5 linked regions of the Sus scrofa genome follow. The main gene of each other region encodes a partner of the protein of the gene in region 2 in a complex. Links are inferred from orthologs where the notes say so. Each region holds a gene or a part of one and is shown on either strand. Other genes may lie near its edges.

Region 1 (3,500 bases), on a different chromosome or scaffold from region 2:
TGGTTGGGGGGAATGACCGAAGTTATTGAAACGAGAGGTTATTTTTACAAAGGATGTGTTATTTACAAATGTTGGTGATTTGCTTCTTGCTAATTGTCTTTTTTATTGTTATTTACCTTGTGCTTTTTGTTTCAGCTCTCAAAATTTTTGAGATGCCATCTGAGAGGCAAGTCACATAAAAGAACTCTAATTAAAGCACTAAAGCCTAATACTGACAAGTTCATCATGCACCTCACATGGATATTAATGGTCAAGATATCCTAAAGCCCATACATCTAAAATGCAACATATGAACTTCAAAAAGGTTTTAATAAATTTGATTGCTACTGATTGGGCCGTGTTTTAAAAACTTATTGGAAGACTATAGCAAATACAGTAAGAAAAAAAGTCAAGGAGTAAAAATAACTAAATATGAATCAATATAATCATATATTTATTGGCCAATAAAAAGTCTCTATATAGACAAGAGTCTATGTAAAGCCACCACTGGGTAATCATTCCTGTTATGATTTTCTAAGGTCTATAACTAAAGGAACAGTGGGAAGTGCCACTACCTTCTTTTACCTACCTTCTTTCATATTCTGCTGAGCTCACTCGGCCTGTTTGATATCCATGACACTTCTGCCATCAAGATTACTATACTTCTCATTGACAGAATTTTGGAGTTAAAAAATTTTAGGGAGAATTGACAGTTTGAGGAACACAAAACATGTGGTTTCAGGAAAGTTTTTTGAATTACTCTCCTTTTTTTCCTCCACAGGTTACAGAATGGTTATAAATCTCATTGGACTCTAAACTGGATATCATCCTTTAGTAAGCATTCTCTTGGGACTGGCCCAAAAGTCATTGGTGCCACATGACTATGTTTAATCCTATTTAAGATTCCAGATGAATAAAGCAACATCTTCTTCCTGCTGACAAAGACCAGGAGTTCATGTTTTACAAGTTAACATTTTATACATGGGTCAGGCAGATTCAGGTGGAAACATGATGCCCTTTCCACCTTCTATTTTCTTATCTCAGAATTCATCTGGCTTCAGTAAACTTTCTCCAACAAGAATGACCATTATTTAATTTGATGAAACCTCAATTTAAAAACGACTTTGGTTTTTCAAGCATGTTTCTATATTAGGTAGACTATTATATTCAAATAATAGGCTAGTTTAGTAGAAAACTGGATTGGTGAAAATATTTCCCATGAAGGATCATATGTGAACTAAATCCTCACAGGGCTGCATACCTCCAAAGAAGGCAAAATACACAGTGCGCAGGAGTAAAACACCCTTTTGCATGGCTGTCTCTGGTTGTATTTAGCAGAAGTCCTGCAGATTTTGCCCTTACACAATATACAAAAACCAATGCCATAATGAGAAAAATAATGATGTGATACGAGTTAAGATTTTTGGTTTTGTTTGTTTGCTTTGCTCTCTTTTGATGGTGGGAAAAGGGTATGGCAAAGAAAGATAAACATTTATTAGGTTGCAATTCCCCACAAACCGTAATAAAATTATAATATATATTAACACTCTGGAGTCCATTTCTACACCCTTTTTTGATCTTCTTTCTTCACTTCTTCATTGTATAATGGCTTTCTTTATGTTTAAGTCTCGAGGTTAGGTTGTAATTGTGGCATTTCATCCTCATATGGACACATGGTAACAAAAATGTGAACAAAAAAGAAAAGAGGTTATTATTTTTGTGTGCAGAGATAAAATGATATATTCAGAAGCCCTTCTTCAAGAGAGTATGAGAAACTACAGATCATTCCTTAAATCCACAATTCCAACACGTCTCTTTTATGGTCTCATTGCTCCTAAACTGGCAGGGTTTATAAGGTGCAAGTTTCTCAAATTGGAGCAGAGGCACAATAAGTGTCACTGTAGGGCTCCTTAATTGCACATTCCATTAATAAGACTATAAAGTGCAATGGCAGAGATTTTAAAACTAGGAGCTCTTTCATTCTTTTTCTGTTCCTCAAGCTCCTCTTGACTACCTTCCTTCTTTACAAAGATGTTTTACCTTGTAGCGCCTATGTTCTTATAATGACACATAAGAAGGTGTTTAAAGGTCTTCTTGAAGGTGGCATTACAAAGTGCATAGCAGGCAGGGTTGATAGTGCTGTTGATGTAACAGAGCCAATAACCAATTGTCCACACTGTGTTGGGGATGCAGGGTGCACAGAAGGTATTAATGAGCACCATGACGTTGTACGGGGCCCAAGTGATGATGAAAGCCAACAGAATAGCCAAGATCGTCCTGGTCACTTTCTTTTCCCGGGAAGGAGGCGGCTTCTTTTTTGCAGGCTGCTTGGTCATCTTCACAATCTTGCGAGCGACAATGTTCTGTTTTTCATCTCCATTCTGACCTGAAGAACCAACAAGCTCCACAGTGGTATTAGCTGGGGTGCATGAGTCACTTTTTTGGGTCTTGGTGACAATTTTGATGCATGTTTGCTTTGAGTTCTCATCTTTGGAATGGCCCAGGGAAGTGGAAACTGTGTTTTCATCCTGGGTTATTTCATCATCTCTCATATTAGAGGCAACAGCACTGACTGAGGTGGAATCGTTGGAGCTTTCTTTCTCCTCTCCCTGGACACAGTTCTCAGTCACAGCATCCCTGGGAGCTTTGCCATTCTGGATTTTGTTGTGCTCCAGGGCTTCATCACTGCCAGGCATATTATTGTTGTTCGGCTTCACTATTCTTCCTTGTACCAAACTTGGAGAAACTGGTTCTTGGTTGGCCACAGGCTCCTTCCTGTCCTTCTTAATCCTGCTCTTACTGGCTCGGGATATGTGCCAGTATAATACAGTCATGATGATCACAGGCAAATAGAAGGCTGCAATGGCAGTGCCAAAGGTGACAGCAGCGTTGGAAAAAAACTGTATATAGCATTCACCATCCTCCACAGTTCTCACCCCTACAATGAACTGCCAGAAGAGAATGGCCGGAGCCCAGAGGATGAAGGAGAGGACCCACGCAGCAGCAATCATCATACCTGCCATTTTTGTGGTCCGCTTGACGGGGTAGGTGAGCGGCTTCGTGACACAGAAGTACCTGTCAAAGCTGATGATGAGCAGATTCATTACTGAGGCATTACTGACCACGTAGTCCAGAGCTAGCCAAAGGTCACACACCACGGGGCCCAAAGGCCAGTAGCCAATCACAGTGTAAAGAGTGTACAGGTTCATGGAGAAAACACCAATGATGAGGTCAGCACAGGCCAAGCTGAACAAAAAGTAATTGTTGACTGTCTGGAGGTGTCGGTTGACTTTGATGGAGACCATGACCAGGATGTTCCCAATAATGGTCACCAAACTGAGGGATCCGGCGACAAGGACAATAAAAACCACTTCAAATGTCTTATAAGGACTGGTCAGAGCCAGGCCACTGTTAGAGGAGTTGGTGGAGTTATTCATTTTGTGTTCTCTACTCAGTAGCCAAGTAGCCAAATACACATTTAAACCTGCAGGGAAATAAAATAAAATTAACAAATATATAAT
Region 2 (3,500 bases):
CGGGCGGCTGGGCGGTGAGGCCAGGGCTCAGTAGAGGCCACAGCCCCGAAGGTTTTTGGCGATGATGACGTCCGTCACCGCGTCAAAGACAAACTGGATGTTGTTGGTGTCGGTGGCACAAGTGACGTGGGTGTAGACCTCCTTGTGGGCAGACTTGTTCCTGCTCTCGTACTGGGCCTGGATATACGCCACGGCCTCCGTGAAGGTGCTGGGGCCTGCGGGAGAGACCAAGTTTGGGAGCTGGTGAGGTGAGGCCCCCGCTGGGGGACTGGTCAGGCCACGGGCTGGGGAGCAGACACTGGGGGCCTCTCAGGGACAGCCTTTCGGGAGAAAACTAATGGGGTGCCAAACACTCGACAGCTCAGCTCCATCAGTCATGGGTCAGGAAATAGGTCAGTGGACCACATCCACTTTAAAAGCAATGAAGGGAACGAGAAAGCAAACCTCACCTCACTAGGCCTCAGCAGCGTCAGGACTCCTGTTTCCTTTTACAGTGCATCTAAGGGCTCCTGATACAAGTGTTCTCTCTTCCTGTGGGTCCTGCCCAAAGATGTCTGTGCCAGCCCCTGGCTGACGCATGCCCTGCAGGGCAGGCAGAGATGCCACCTCCCTTGGCCACTGCTGGGCAAGGTGTATGGAAACTGTGTGGCACCTGTGAGCCGCCCTGGCCTCCTCCCTCTCAACCCCCTGCCCTCCTCCTCCACCTCACCTCCAGCCCTCCTGTTCTCCTATTCACCACCCAGGGTTTAGGAACTGTCTGGCTGCTGACTTGCTGCCTTCCTTGCTGCCATATTGCTCTGTCCCGGGTAAGGCCAGGCAGAGGCAGTTTGGGAAGGAACAGAACGGGACTCCTGGCTGTGCCCTGAGGCTTCCCTGGGCTTCAGGAGTCTAGGCACGGGCCCAGGCCCAGCTGCCACAACACACTGAGGGAGGAAGAGGGGAGCTGAACTTCACAGCTATGGCACTAAGCTGGGGTGACTCCTGTGCAAACTGGAGGCCCAGGATGAGCATGGCTGCAGCTCCTCGACACAGGGGTGCAGGCCAGCAGGCCTGGCCTTGAGGGTCTACCAGGCCACAGCTCTTTCCTAAATGTGAGCTGGAGATGAGGGAGTGTGTCCTTGGGAGCACATCAGCCTTGGCAAACTGCCTCACGCTGCTTCTGCTGCCCCATGGGCTACACCCCAGGTCACCTACAGCAGGACCCACAGACCCACACTTTATGTACACCTAAAAGGAGGCTGACTGGTGAGTGTGGGGGAGGTTGAGCCCGGCCCACCTCTGGCTGCATGCTGCTTGGGGTCCTGGCCTCTGGGCAGTCATCCTCTTCTAGAGGAAGGGGGACACTCGTCTGGCTTCAAGTGTAGCCCCATGTCCACTCTGGGGGAACTGGGGCTCAGTCTGGAGTCACCCCCAGCAGGCCCACCTTGCTGGGACTCTGCCTTTGTGCTCTCTAGGCCGGGGGTGCTGCTTGGGCTGAGGAGGCCCACTTCTGCCTCCACTCACCTCTCTGACCAGGCGCTGGCCATCCTAAAGAGCCAGCAGGTACCTGGGCTATTCTAGCCACCCTGCTGCCTGCTGGGGGCCCTGGTCAGGCTGCCTCCATCACCCACCCACCGTCAGGTAAACCCGCGGCAATGTTAACAGAGGTGGCCTTCAGCATCCTCAGAACCCTCCGCAGACGGCCCTGGTCGCTCCTGCTTGTGAAGCTCTCTCACATCCAACAGGCCATTTGAATCCTATAACTACCCGTGTGGGAGGTGCTGTCATGATATTTTTGAGTTATAATCCCAGTTATAAGAGTAACAGCAAATGTTTAGTGAGCACTTACTAAGCACCAGCTGCCATGCTAAGCTCTCTAGGTTCTTGAGCTCACTTTGTCCTCCTGGCAGCTCTGGGAGGGAGGGCTGGATAATCACAGTGATTATCCTCATCTCACAGATGTGAAAACTGACGCTCCGAGAAGTTACATGACCTGCTGTGAGTGGCAGAGTGGGGACATGAGCCTGGGGATGCCTGACTCGAAGCCCCTGATCTTAACCCCCATTACCATCTTGGTGTTGCCACTTGACTGATAATCTCTATCTACAGGTGACCTAGGTCCAAGAGGTTGCAGAGATCAGGATCCCAGCCCTGCCTCCCCTGACTAGGAAGCCCCAGCTGGCTGCCCCGGGCCCGCACTACATACAGGACATGATGGGGAAGGGAGGGGCCCGCCTTTGGTTTTATGTTGGCTTCTCCATGAGAGAACCTGGTGCATCCGCAGGGTATGGTAAGGGGGACTGAGCTCCCTCAGGAACTGGTGTGGCCAGAGTGGCTGTGTGGCCCCTGAGGGGCGTGGCAGTCTCTACCTGTGTACTCAGGAAAGCAGATGGTTAGCGGGGACTTCTTGATCTTCTCTTCGAATATGTCCTTCTTGTTAAGAAACAGGATGATGGACGTGTCCGTGAACCATTTGTTGTTACAGATGCTGTCGAAAAGCTTCAGGGATTCATGCATGCGGTTCTGCAATAGAGTGGAGAGTCCAGTGAGGGCTGGTAGTACCTGGGGCCCTGACCCACCGCGGCCAGTAACACAGCAGGACAAGCAAAGGGAAGGTCCACTAATGCGGCTGAACGCACCACCAGGGATGGAGATGGGAGGACCCACAGGACGAGGATGTGGTCCCTGCTGCATTCCACACGCAGGCAGGTGGGGTGGAGCAGGGCGGCAGGGTGGGGAACGCTGCCCTTCCCCTGAAAAAGGCTGACCCGGGAAGGGGCAGCGAGGTCACTTGGAGGGACTCCAGCCCACGGAGAGGACATGCACCATGCACGCAGGGGAAGGGGCCGCACCACCATCCACATGTCCACATGGGACCGCGGGCATGCAGATTTTTCTACTGGGGTCTCATTTGGTTTCGCCAGCAGAGGTGGGAGGGTGCACGCATTCAGTTGGGAGACATTAACCGAGGACTAAGAGATCCTCGAATTAATCCAGAGTTGGAAGCAGACACCAGGAGGACAGCGTCGGGGGTGTGATCTTGCTGTGGCCTTGGTGTGATTGGGGACTGGGTGGGTTTAGCTGGGTTGTGATTGGGCCGGGGCGGTGGGGGGGCGTTCTGAGTGAGCTGATTATTGGGGCTGGTTTCTCAGCAGAGGGGCTGGATGAACCCCAAGATGAAAGCCAGCAAGAGAGATTAAAACAGAGAGGAAGATAAAAACCCAGCAGAAAACATGAAGGAAAGAGAGAGGGAAAAAAAAACCCAAATGGGTTCAACCAGTCTCGGGCCAGGAAGTCAAAGCCGGCCCCTCTGGAGGCCCCGTGTGGCCTCACAGAGGCAGTGGCCACCCTGGGGCTGTGGCCTGCGTGGCTGGAGCTGGAAGGGGATGGTGGGCAAGACCAGCCTAAGCCGAGCGGCTGGTGAGGAGTGTGGGACGTGGGAGTGGGGAGCAGGCATCACAGCAATGTCACCCGGCGGTGCCCTGGGAATCTGCTGCTTTCAACTCTTAGTTGACGGTTTT
Region 3 (2,451 bases), about 24 Mb from region 2:
CGGAACAGGAAGGAAGGTATGGTCAGCAGCAGAGCCAGGCCCCAGGCCATGCCACAGGCCATCCAGGCCAGGTGGGCCCTTCGGAAGTTCTGGCACCAAACGGGGTTAAACACCAGCAGGAAGCGGTCGGCGCTGATGGTAGCCAGGAGCAAGATGCTGGCGTACATGTTGAGCAGGATGAGCGAGGGCAGGATTCGGCAGGCGGCGTCCCCGAAGGACCAGTGGTTGTGCTGCAAGATGGATGCAAACAAGATGGGCAGCGCCAGGCAGGAGAGGAGGTCAGCCACCGCCAGGTTGAGAAACCAGATGGCGTTGATGGTCCGCTTGGCCTCGGATCCCGTCACCCAGACCACCAGGGCATTGCCCGGCACTCCCACCAGGAAGACAATGACAAAGATCACCAGGGCAATCACGTCGGGAGCGTGCAGCTTGAGGGTTCTGGAAGAGGCATCCACCGGTTGGCCAGGGAGCAGGGTCCAGCCATAATTGTAGTAATCAGTGGTGTTATCAACCATGGGGTCCTGCGGGGGGGGGACCAGAGAAGCAGGGAGAGTGAGTCTGCAGACAGGTGGTGGGGGACCCTCAGAGGTACGTGGCTTTGAGCCCAGCGCTCCACATCCTTGGTTAGGCTTCTCCTGGGAAAATGGGGATGCCGAGGGCTGAGAGCCCGCTGGGGTGTCATTAACACTTATTAAAATATTGAAAGCCCTTCCAAGCTACTTTGTCTCCCAGCCCCCCACCCCAATCCCTGGACTTCCCCAGGAACCAGCAAACAAATGGGTAAAACCTAGACCTACAGCAAGACTGTGGTTGTGATCCGCTCTGACTGGTCAGTACCGGGGACCCTGCTTGGGAGGTACCTTTAATGCCTCCAACAGACTGCAATGATACGACTCGGGAGGTAGTCAGCCCAGCACCCCTCGTCACCATCACCACCAGCAACGTGACCTGGTTTGGCTGCATCCCACCCACCGAGGCGGCTCTGCGCTCTGCCTGGGGGCAGCCACCCAGACAAGGCAGCAGGCCTCCTGTACCAGGACAGCATTTAAGGGGTCAAGAGGGAAAACCAGCCTCGAAGACACATAATATCCAAGAGCTCCCGTCATAGTGCAGCAGAAACGAATCCGACCAGGAACCATGAGGTTGTGGCCTTGCTCAGAGGGTTAAGGATCTGGTGTTGCTGTGAGCTGTGGTGTAGGTCCCAGACATGGCTTGGATCTGGCCTTGCTGTGGCTGTGGCATAGGCCAGCACCTGCAGCTCCAATTCAACCCCTAGCCCGGGAACCTCCACATGCCGTAGGTGCGGCCCTAAAAAGCCAAAAAAAAAAAAAAAAATCCTAATGCAATATTTTAAAGAATCAAAATTGATGCCCCCCCAAAAAAATTACAGTAGAAAAAAAATCAAATTAAAAAAAATTTTTTTTGCCTTTTTAGGGCCACACCCACGACATATGGCTAGGGGTTGAGTAAGTGCCCAGGCTAGGGGTGGAATCAGAGCCACAGCTGCTGGCCTACATCACAGCCACAGCAACTCGGGACCCGAGCTGCCTCTTTGACTACACCGCAGCTCTTGACCACCCCGGATGCTCACCCCACTGAGCGAGGCCCGGGATTGATTTGTTACAGCTGAGCCACAATGGGACCTCCCAAAAAGCTGAACTGCAAATAAATTACTATTGTGCAAGGGGAGCCTTCTGATTGGCCCACAGTTTGAAGGACCCGAAGGGTCTTTGTAGGTTGACAATGGCAAGCAGACCTAGTGGGGCTTTATCTGTATCATGCTGTTGGCGTTTGGGGGGAAGTTGTTTTGGGAAGGAGGTTGGGAAAGCTTTATTTCCTTTTTCTACTGGGCTCAGGAAACACTGTTAATCCTGAGATAGGAGCGCACAGGTGCCCTGCCCCGTGTCCCAGGACGACTCAGCACAGCGCTAGGACACAGATCCAGACCCTCGTCCTAGCAGCCTACCTGGCCCTCTCCAAGTGCCACCACTGGTTTTTATGCTGCTCTCTCTTCCTCGCTTAACTCCTGGCAGTCCCTCGTTTCGCCTATCATCATTCCAAAACCTCAGTCTCAGAACAGAGAGAAAATACTTGGGGGCAGCAAGACAAAGAATAAATGGGAGTTCCCATTGTGGCTTAGCGGGTTAAGAATCCGACTAGTATCCATGAGGACACAGGTTTGATCCCTGGCCTCACTCCCTGGGTGAAGGATCTAGTGTTGCCGGGAGCTGTGGTGTTGGTTGCAGAGGCAGCTCGGATCTGGCGTGGCTGTGGCTGTGGCGTCAGCCAGCACTGACAGCTCCGATTCGACCCCTAGCCTGGAAACCTCCATATGCCGCGGGTGTGGCCCTAAAAAAGACATACACACAAAAAAAAAAAAAAAAAGAGAGAGAGAGAGAAATAACATCACAGGGATGAAATTAGCCCAATCACTCTGCAAGACAAAGGGTC
Region 4 (2,114 bases), on a different chromosome or scaffold from region 2:
TCCACCCAAGTTCGTAACCCCCCTAAGTTGGGCTGGACTTGCCCCCTTTCTGAGTTGACTCTGGGCACCTGGGGGAGGGCCGGTGTCTGCCCCCCACCCCGCGGAGCCCAAGGGTTCCGTGCCCACCGGCACTGTCCTTATCAGGTCCTCCTCCCGGGCCCCAGCCCCCTGGCCCCGGCCTCGGTGCAGGAAGCTCCTTGGCCCTTCCCCCCAGCTCAGCTTCAGGCCCCACGCCCCTGGAGGCGGGGGGGGAGGTGGCGGGGGGAATCACAGCTGTCCTGGGGGTGGGGGCTGGGGCCGATACTCTCAAGCCTAGAGTGAGTCCTGCACAATGCCATGCCACGCTACCAAAGGGGTTCCCCCCAGGGGGGGGCACTGCCAGGCACGCATCTCTAGTTAGGACTAAACCTGTTAACCACTGCCCCCGCCTCTGCCCCCCACCACAGGTTCCCCTCCCCAGGTCCCTGACTGAGGTACGGGGGCTTGGCCACCCCCACGAAGTCCTCGGGAATCAGCACCAATAAAAAAATACACTTTACTGTGGACTCTGGGGTCTGCAGGGCAGCACAGCAGGTATGGGAGCTGGGCATGCAGGGCGCCCACTGGGTGTGTGGGATATGGTGAAGCAACCCCTCTGCTGGACCCCGGCCCCTGTCCCCTCCCCTGACAGCCCCAGGGGACTCTGACAGCAGATGGGGCGGGAGGGGCAGCCTTCCCGACGACCAGGCGGCCAGGCTCCAGCCGCTCTCAGAGCCTCCAGTCCGGCCCCGCACCCGGAGCTGGGGGCGGGGTGGGCAGAGACAGCTGGCACTGCTCGGCCGGAAGCAGCAGCACGAGGAAGGAGGGCGTGGGAGCCCACACCTGCCAGTCCAGCCCTGAGCTCCTCAGCAATTTTCTCTCTCTTGATTAAACATCCAAGGAACATCAAGTTCACGGACGCGTTTTCTCCTTCTCCGTCTTCCCTGAAACTCCCAGGATGGAGAAGCGAGACGTGCCAGAGGCTCCTTGGTGGGCATCTGGCACTTTGGGTCACAGAAAGTTGGCAGAAAGAGGGATGAAGGGGCCTGGCCCCGGACTTAAGCAGGAGACAGCAGCGAAGCTAGCGTCCGGGGCTCGTCTGGGACGAGGCGGGTGTGCGGGGGTGTGCACGTGCGGGGCCAGGGCACCAGCTCTGGAGGCTTGGAGCACACGCCAAACGCTTGCTCTGGGAAGATCACCAAGCAGTAACTGCGAAGGGTGGACACCACTGGCCATCGCACTGTCCGTGGGGGGTGGACAGAGTGCCTGGGACCCCTGGGTTGGCCCTCTGGGGCAGAGCAGGACGGGGGCAGCCACATCCTGGTTCGGGCAGCGAGGGCCCTTCCAGACGGCCCACCGGGCTGCCTCAACTGCCAGCGGAAGGGATGAGAGAGGCTGCCATGGCCTTGAGGGTGGGCCGGAGACAAGGCATGGCTCAGCCCTGGGGGCGGCCAGGGGGCGGGGGGCGAGGCCCGGCTGCTTGGGAAGCCAGGACCTGGAGGGGGCGGCAAGGGAGGGCCTGTCCCCCCACAGCCCAGGTGCCCAGGGAGGCCGGCTCACTTCCAGCAGTGCTCCAGGGAGCTGTGGGGCTGGAGCTTGAGCTTCTGGGGGCAGAGCAGCTTGGCGAAGGCTCGGCGGAAGCTGTAGTGGCACAGCGGGTAGAGGACGGGGTTGACGGCCGAGTTGGCCCACAGCAGCCAGAAGGACGTCTCGTACCAGTAGTCGGGGACGCAGCGGCCGTGGCAGGCCGCCCGGATGATCATCAGGAGTGTGTAGGGGGCCCAGCAGAGCCCGAAGATGCTCACGATGACCGCCAGCGACTTGGCCACCTTCTTGTCCCGCGAGAGCCGGAAGCGCTGGGTGACGCTCTGCGACACCATCTTCATGCGCTTCTCCAGGGACGCCGAGGACGCGGACGGCTTGGAGCCCCTCTTCAGCGAGCGCGGCCGCTCCGTGCCCCTCGAGGAGCTGCCGGAGCTGGAGGTGGGCGAGGCCGCGGCACCCCCTCCGCTGCCGCCGCCGAGGGCCGCCTCCCTGGCCTCGGTGCCCGGGGCCCCCTCGCCGACCCCGACCCCACACCTGTGCAGCGGCACAGC
Region 5 (3,751 bases), on a different chromosome or scaffold from region 2:
TTATGGGGAAAGAAATGACCTGAGGGACCCATGTGTCCTCCCCCCCACCCCCGATCTTGACTTCCTGGGCCCTGAGCTGCTTCCCAGGCTGGACAGGAGGCTCGCTGTCTAAGGGAGTGGATGTCGCTGGCTCCACAGGATCCCAGGTTCCAGAATGAAAGGAATGATACAGCCCCAGATTCTCACGGGGTGGGGGGACTCCCACGTCATCTGCCCTCTCCCCTCCCAGACACAGCGACGGAAGGCACAGTGCCATCTGCAGGCTGTGCTAGAAAGCCGCTTGCCCACTCCCGTAAGCAGGGGTCTCTGCCTCCTCTTCCAGCCCCTTCCACCGTGGCATGGACCCAGATGGGAATGGCTGCCCACCCCAGGCCCGTGACCTGGGCCAAATTGCCTGAATGATCCATCTGGCCTTGCCATCCGAAAAGTGGGCACAAGGACCTGGCTCCCGGAAGCGAGTTACAGGGATCGAGTGAAGGGACCTTCATCAGGCACTCGGTGTGGGGGGGGGTTGAAAAATGTCAGCTCCCTCTGCTCTTCACACTGTTAGGAAGTATTTCTTTGTGTTTGTCCCAATCTTGCCCCCCTAAGCCCCCCAGGACCGTCTCTGCCTCCAGGCTGGGATATCTGTCCCCAGCCTCCCGGCGGAGAGAGCTCTTATTGGTCCCCTTGGCAGAGAGGGCAGGTGGCATCCTGATCCCTAGGTGCTCACTGATGGGCCGGTCAGGCCCCATGGGTGTGTTACACGCCCACGAGGGACGAGGAAGGAGAAGATCAAGGTGGTGACAGTGTGAAGAGAAGCTGGATTTGCCCCACAGCAGGCGTCCCCCGCTGTCCCCACTCCCGCCTCCACCCAGACTTGCCTGGAATCTCCAGGAGGGTCACTAGCCCATCTCGTAGCCTTACAGGCCAGGGAGCAGGGCCGCTGTTTACAGATGCAGAAAGTACCAGAATACAAGAGTGCCTAAAAAATATTTGCTGAGAGGTGAATGAATGACTAAAGTGGGAGACCCTTGGAAATACTCCTCAAATACCCAAATTCCAGGCACAGGGCCAGGCCCTCCCCAGAGAGTGGAAAGATGAGCCAAAGGAAAGAACTTTCTCATGCCTCTGGGAACGAATGGGCTGCCCACTGGCCAGAAACAGGCCGTGGGCCCTGGCTGTGGGGTGGACCCAGTCTCAGCCTCAAAGGCCCCTTTCCATGAATCGGAGTCCTCTAACCCTAGATCTAGAACTCTGCGTTCCTGAGCTGCTCAAATAGGGACCCCAAACTCTTTTTTTTTTTTCCAAGGCCAGATGGTTAAGTATTTTAGTCTTTGAGGAGCATATGGTCTTTGCCACAACTTTTCAGCTCTGTAAAAAGATGGGCATGGCTGTGCGCCAATAAAGCTTTATTTACAAAAACAGCCTGCTGGGCTGCATCTGGCCCTTGAGAGGTAGTTGGCCTACCCCCCTGTTCTAAAGTGTTGGAATCCCACCATCCTGACATTCACGGATCTCATGCATCCTTAAGGTTCCGAGGGTCGGGCCCTCGGGCTCCAGGGAAGGAGGCAGATCAGATGCAACAAAGGCCTTGCGTACAGTTGGGCAGATTTTTTTTTTTTCTTTTTTAGCCACACCTGCAGCGTATGGAAGTTCCCTGGTCAGGGATGGAATCCAAGCTGCAGCTGCAGCCTACGCCACAGCTGCAGCAATGCCATATCCTCCACCCACTGCACGAGGCTGAGGGTCGAATCCATGCTGCCACAGAGACCACGCCGGGTCCTTAACCGGCTGTGCCACCATGGGAACGCCTGGTCGGGCGTATCTTAACCCAGGGAGGGTCTGGGCGCTTGGGACCCGGTCGGGCGGCTGTGGCAGGCCACGACTCTGACTCCTCTTCTCCCCACGGCCCCTTCCCTTCAGGGTGATGGCTACAGGCCCCGACCTCTGGAATGGCACCGTCAACGGCACCTCGGATGGGGATGACTGGGGCTACAGGTGCCGCTTCCACGAGGACTTCAAGTACGTGCTGCTGCCCCTGAGCTACGGCGTGGTGTGCGTGCTGGGGCTGAGTCTGAACGCCGGGGCGCTCTACATCTTCCTGTGCCGCCTCAAGACCTGGAACGCCTCCACCACGTACATGTTCCACCTGGCCGTGTCCGACGCGCTGTACGCCGCCTCCCTGCCCCTGCTGGTCTATTACTACGCGCGCGGCGACCACTGGCCCTTCAGCACGGCGCTCTGCAAGCTGGTGCGCTTCCTCTTCTACACCAACCTGTACTGCAGCATCCTGTTCCTCACGTGCATCAGCGTGCACCGCTGCCTGGGCGTCCTGCGGCCGCTGCGCTCGCTGCGCTGGGGCCACGCCCGCTACGCGCGCCGGGTGGCGGCGGCCGTGTGGGGTCTGGTGCTGGCCTGCCAGGCGCCCGCGCTCTACTTCATCACCACCACTGCCCAGGGCGGCCGCATCACCTGCCACGACACGTCGGCCCCCGAGCTCTTCAGCCACTTCGTGGCCTACAGCTTGGTCATGCTGAGCGTGCTCTTCGCGGCGCCCTTCGCCGTCATCCTGGTCTGCTACGCGCTCATGGCCCGCCGGCTGCTGCGCCCCGCGTACGGCACCGCCGGAGGCCTGCCGCGCGCCAAGCGCAAGTCGGTGCGCACCATCGCCGTGGTGCTGGCCGTCTTCGCGCTGTGCTTCCTGCCTTTCCACGTCACCCGCACCCTCTACTACTCCTTCCGCACGCTGGACCTCAGCTGCCACACCCTCGATGCCATAAACATGGCATACAAGATCACCCGGCCGCTGGCCAGTGCCAACAGTTGCCTGGACCCCGTGCTCTACTTCCTGGCCGGGCAGAGGCTCGTGCGCTTTGCCCGGGACGCCAAGCCACCCACAGACGCCACCCCCACCGCCCAGGCCTGTCGCAGGCTGGGCCTGCGCAGGTCCCACGGAACTGACACGAAGAGGACAGAAGACTCGGCCAGCAGCGAGGACTCCAGGCGGACAGAGATCACACCGGCGCGTGGCGAAGACATCCGGCTGTAGGACCCGGACCCCTGGCGCCTGCGCACGCGTGTGGGGGGCGGGGCTGCAGACGTGTTCAAGCCGGACAGTCTCCCTCGGTTTGGCCCATCAGCGACTCAGGCCAGATGGTCGGGAGAGCCGGGACCCCCATGCTCTGTCCCTTGGCCGGGGCCCCGTCTGTCCTCCGTGGTCCAGGGAGCCCCGCAGTCCCCACACCCCTCACCGTTGGTATGTGTGAGTTGGGGGATGAGGTTTTAAGAAAGGCAGGCAGATGCGTGGCTGGGCCTGCCACGGTACCCAGGCTGGAGGCCGGACAGATTGAGTCCAGTGGAAAGATGGGTCCAGAGAGGCCAGTGACTTACGGAGATCACACAGCTGAGCCTGGCCCTGTGCTACGGGGGAGGGGCGGGTGCAGGTTGAGCCAAGGACCCCTGTAAGGAGTCAGGGCTGAGCCAGAGGTTCCACGGTGGGTCAGGGTGGTCTCTGGGTGCCACCGTGGGCTCAGCTCTGAGGATGTTCCCCGGCCCAGGGGAAGAGCATCTGAGAACAGGTGCCATAGACCCATCTGGAGGCTGGAGCGGTTTGGGGCTGGGACTCCTACCAGAGGCGTTATTATCTGCCGAGCTGGGCGCTGCTGTGTGGTTGGAGGGTGGGGGTACAGCCTGCGAAGCTCTGCCATCCACACTGGGTCCTTCCTCCAACCTCTTCTCCTCTGCCATTTGCCTTCCCATGAGCCACCTC

Evidence for each region. Proteins that work in one complex are often made in the same cells at the same time.
Region 1: the proteins of GNAO1 (region 2) and CHRM2 are in contact, whole or in part, in a cryo-EM structure (PDB 7T8X), measured with the Homo sapiens proteins. The link is inferred for Sus scrofa from reciprocal best matches to the Homo sapiens genes GNAO1 and CHRM2. Residues at the interface, in NP_066268.1 of Homo sapiens: Lys24, Ile28, Ala31, Lys32, Leu195, Tyr320, Asp337, Ala338, Thr340, Asp341, Ile343, Ala345, Asn347, Leu348, Gly350, Cys351, Gly352, Leu353, Tyr354; in NP_000730.1 of Homo sapiens: Asn58, Arg121, Cys124, Val125, Pro128, Leu129, Thr130, Pro132, Val133, Lys134, Thr136, Ile209, Ser213, Lys214, Ser215, Arg216, Ile217, Arg381, Lys384, Val385, Thr388, Ile389, Cys443.
Region 3: the proteins of GNAO1 (region 2) and C5AR1 are in contact, whole or in part, in a cryo-EM structure (PDB 8JZP), measured with the Homo sapiens proteins. The link is inferred for Sus scrofa from reciprocal best matches to the Homo sapiens genes GNAO1 and C5AR1. Residues at the interface, in NP_066268.1 of Homo sapiens: Ala31, Lys32, Lys193, Asn194, Leu195, Glu318, Tyr320, Phe336, Thr340, Asp341, Ile343, Ile344, Ala345, Asn347, Leu348, Arg349, Gly350, Cys351, Gly352, Leu353, Tyr354; in NP_001727.2 of Homo sapiens: Asn71, Phe75, Arg134, Leu137, Val138, Pro141, Ile142, Gln145, Ile225, Thr229, Arg233, Ala234, Thr235, Arg236, Ser237, Lys239, Thr240, Val243, Val244, Ala303, Gln305, Phe307.
Region 4: the proteins of GNAO1 (region 2) and HRH3 are in contact, whole or in part, in a cryo-EM structure (PDB 8YN7), measured with the Homo sapiens proteins. The link is inferred for Sus scrofa from reciprocal best matches to the Homo sapiens genes GNAO1 and HRH3. Residues at the interface, in NP_066268.1 of Homo sapiens: Ile28, Ala31, Lys32, Asp33, Val34, Lys193, Asn194, Leu195, Asn312, Pro315, Asn316, Lys317, Glu318, Ile319, Tyr320, Phe336, Thr340, Asp341, Ile343, Ile344, Ala345, Asn347, Leu348, Arg349, Gly350, Cys351, Gly352, Leu353, Tyr354; in NP_009163.2 of Homo sapiens: Asn69, Asp131, Arg132, Ser135, Val136, Ala139, Val140, Tyr142, Arg143, Ala144, Gly147, Ile221, Ile225, Arg228, Arg232, Thr345, Phe348, Arg349, Arg352, Val356, Leu360, Cys415, His416, His417.
Region 5: the proteins of GNAO1 (region 2) and P2RY2 are in contact, whole or in part, in a cryo-EM structure (PDB 9K20), measured with the Homo sapiens proteins. The link is inferred for Sus scrofa from reciprocal best matches to the Homo sapiens genes GNAO1 and P2RY2. Residues at the interface, in NP_066268.1 of Homo sapiens: Ala31, Lys32, Asp33, Val34, Leu195, Gln305, Glu309, Glu318, Ile319, Tyr320, Cys321, His322, Met323, Val334, Phe336, Thr340, Asp341, Ile343, Ile344, Asn347, Leu348, Gly350, Cys351, Gly352, Leu353, Tyr354; in NP_002555.4 of Homo sapiens: Asn66, Ser68, His130, Arg131, Gly134, Val135, Pro138, Leu139, Leu142, Arg143, Met221, Arg224, Leu225, Ala229, Tyr230, Gly231, Thr232, Ser233, Pro237, Ala239, Lys240, Lys242, Ser243, Arg245, Thr246, Leu308.

Annotation. Positions count from the first base shown.
Region 1 is NC_010460.4:12,457,315-12,460,814, forward strand, and holds part of CHRM2 (muscarinic acetylcholine receptor M2), read right to left. Parts: intron 3,464-3,500; 5' UTR 3,417-3,463; coding exon 2,016-3,416; 3' UTR 1-2,015. UniProt on the Homo sapiens protein: The muscarinic acetylcholine receptor mediates various cellular responses, including inhibition of adenylate cyclase, breakdown of phosphoinositides and modulation of potassium channels through the action of G proteins.
Region 2 is NC_010448.4:29,428,875-29,432,374, forward strand, and holds part of GNAO1 (guanine nucleotide-binding protein G(o) subunit alpha), read right to left. Parts: intron 2,503-3,500; coding exon 2,349-2,502; intron 216-2,348; coding exon 28-215; 3' UTR 1-27. UniProt on the Homo sapiens protein: Guanine nucleotide-binding proteins (G proteins) function as transducers downstream of G protein-coupled receptors (GPCRs) in numerous signaling cascades.
Region 3 is NC_010448.4:53,107,162-53,109,612, reverse strand, and holds part of C5AR1 (C5a anaphylatoxin chemotactic receptor 1), read right to left. Parts: intron 522-2,451; coding exon 1-521.
Region 4 is NC_010459.5:61,622,365-61,624,478, forward strand, and holds the end of HRH3 (histamine H3 receptor), read right to left. Parts: coding exon 1,575-2,114; 3' UTR 501-1,574; downstream 1-500. UniProt on the Homo sapiens protein: The H3 subclass of histamine receptors could mediate the histamine signals in CNS and peripheral nervous system. Signals through the inhibition of adenylate cyclase and displays high constitutive activity (spontaneous activity in the absence of agonist).
Region 5 is NC_010451.4:7,691,110-7,694,860, forward strand, and holds the end of P2RY2 (P2Y purinoceptor 2), read left to right. Parts: intron 1-1,905; 5' UTR 1,906-1,909; coding exon 1,910-3,031; 3' UTR 3,032-3,251; downstream 3,252-3,751. UniProt on the Homo sapiens protein: Receptor for ATP and UTP coupled to G-proteins that activate a phosphatidylinositol-calcium second messenger system. The affinity range is UTP = ATP > ATP-gamma-S >> 2-methylthio-ATP = ADP.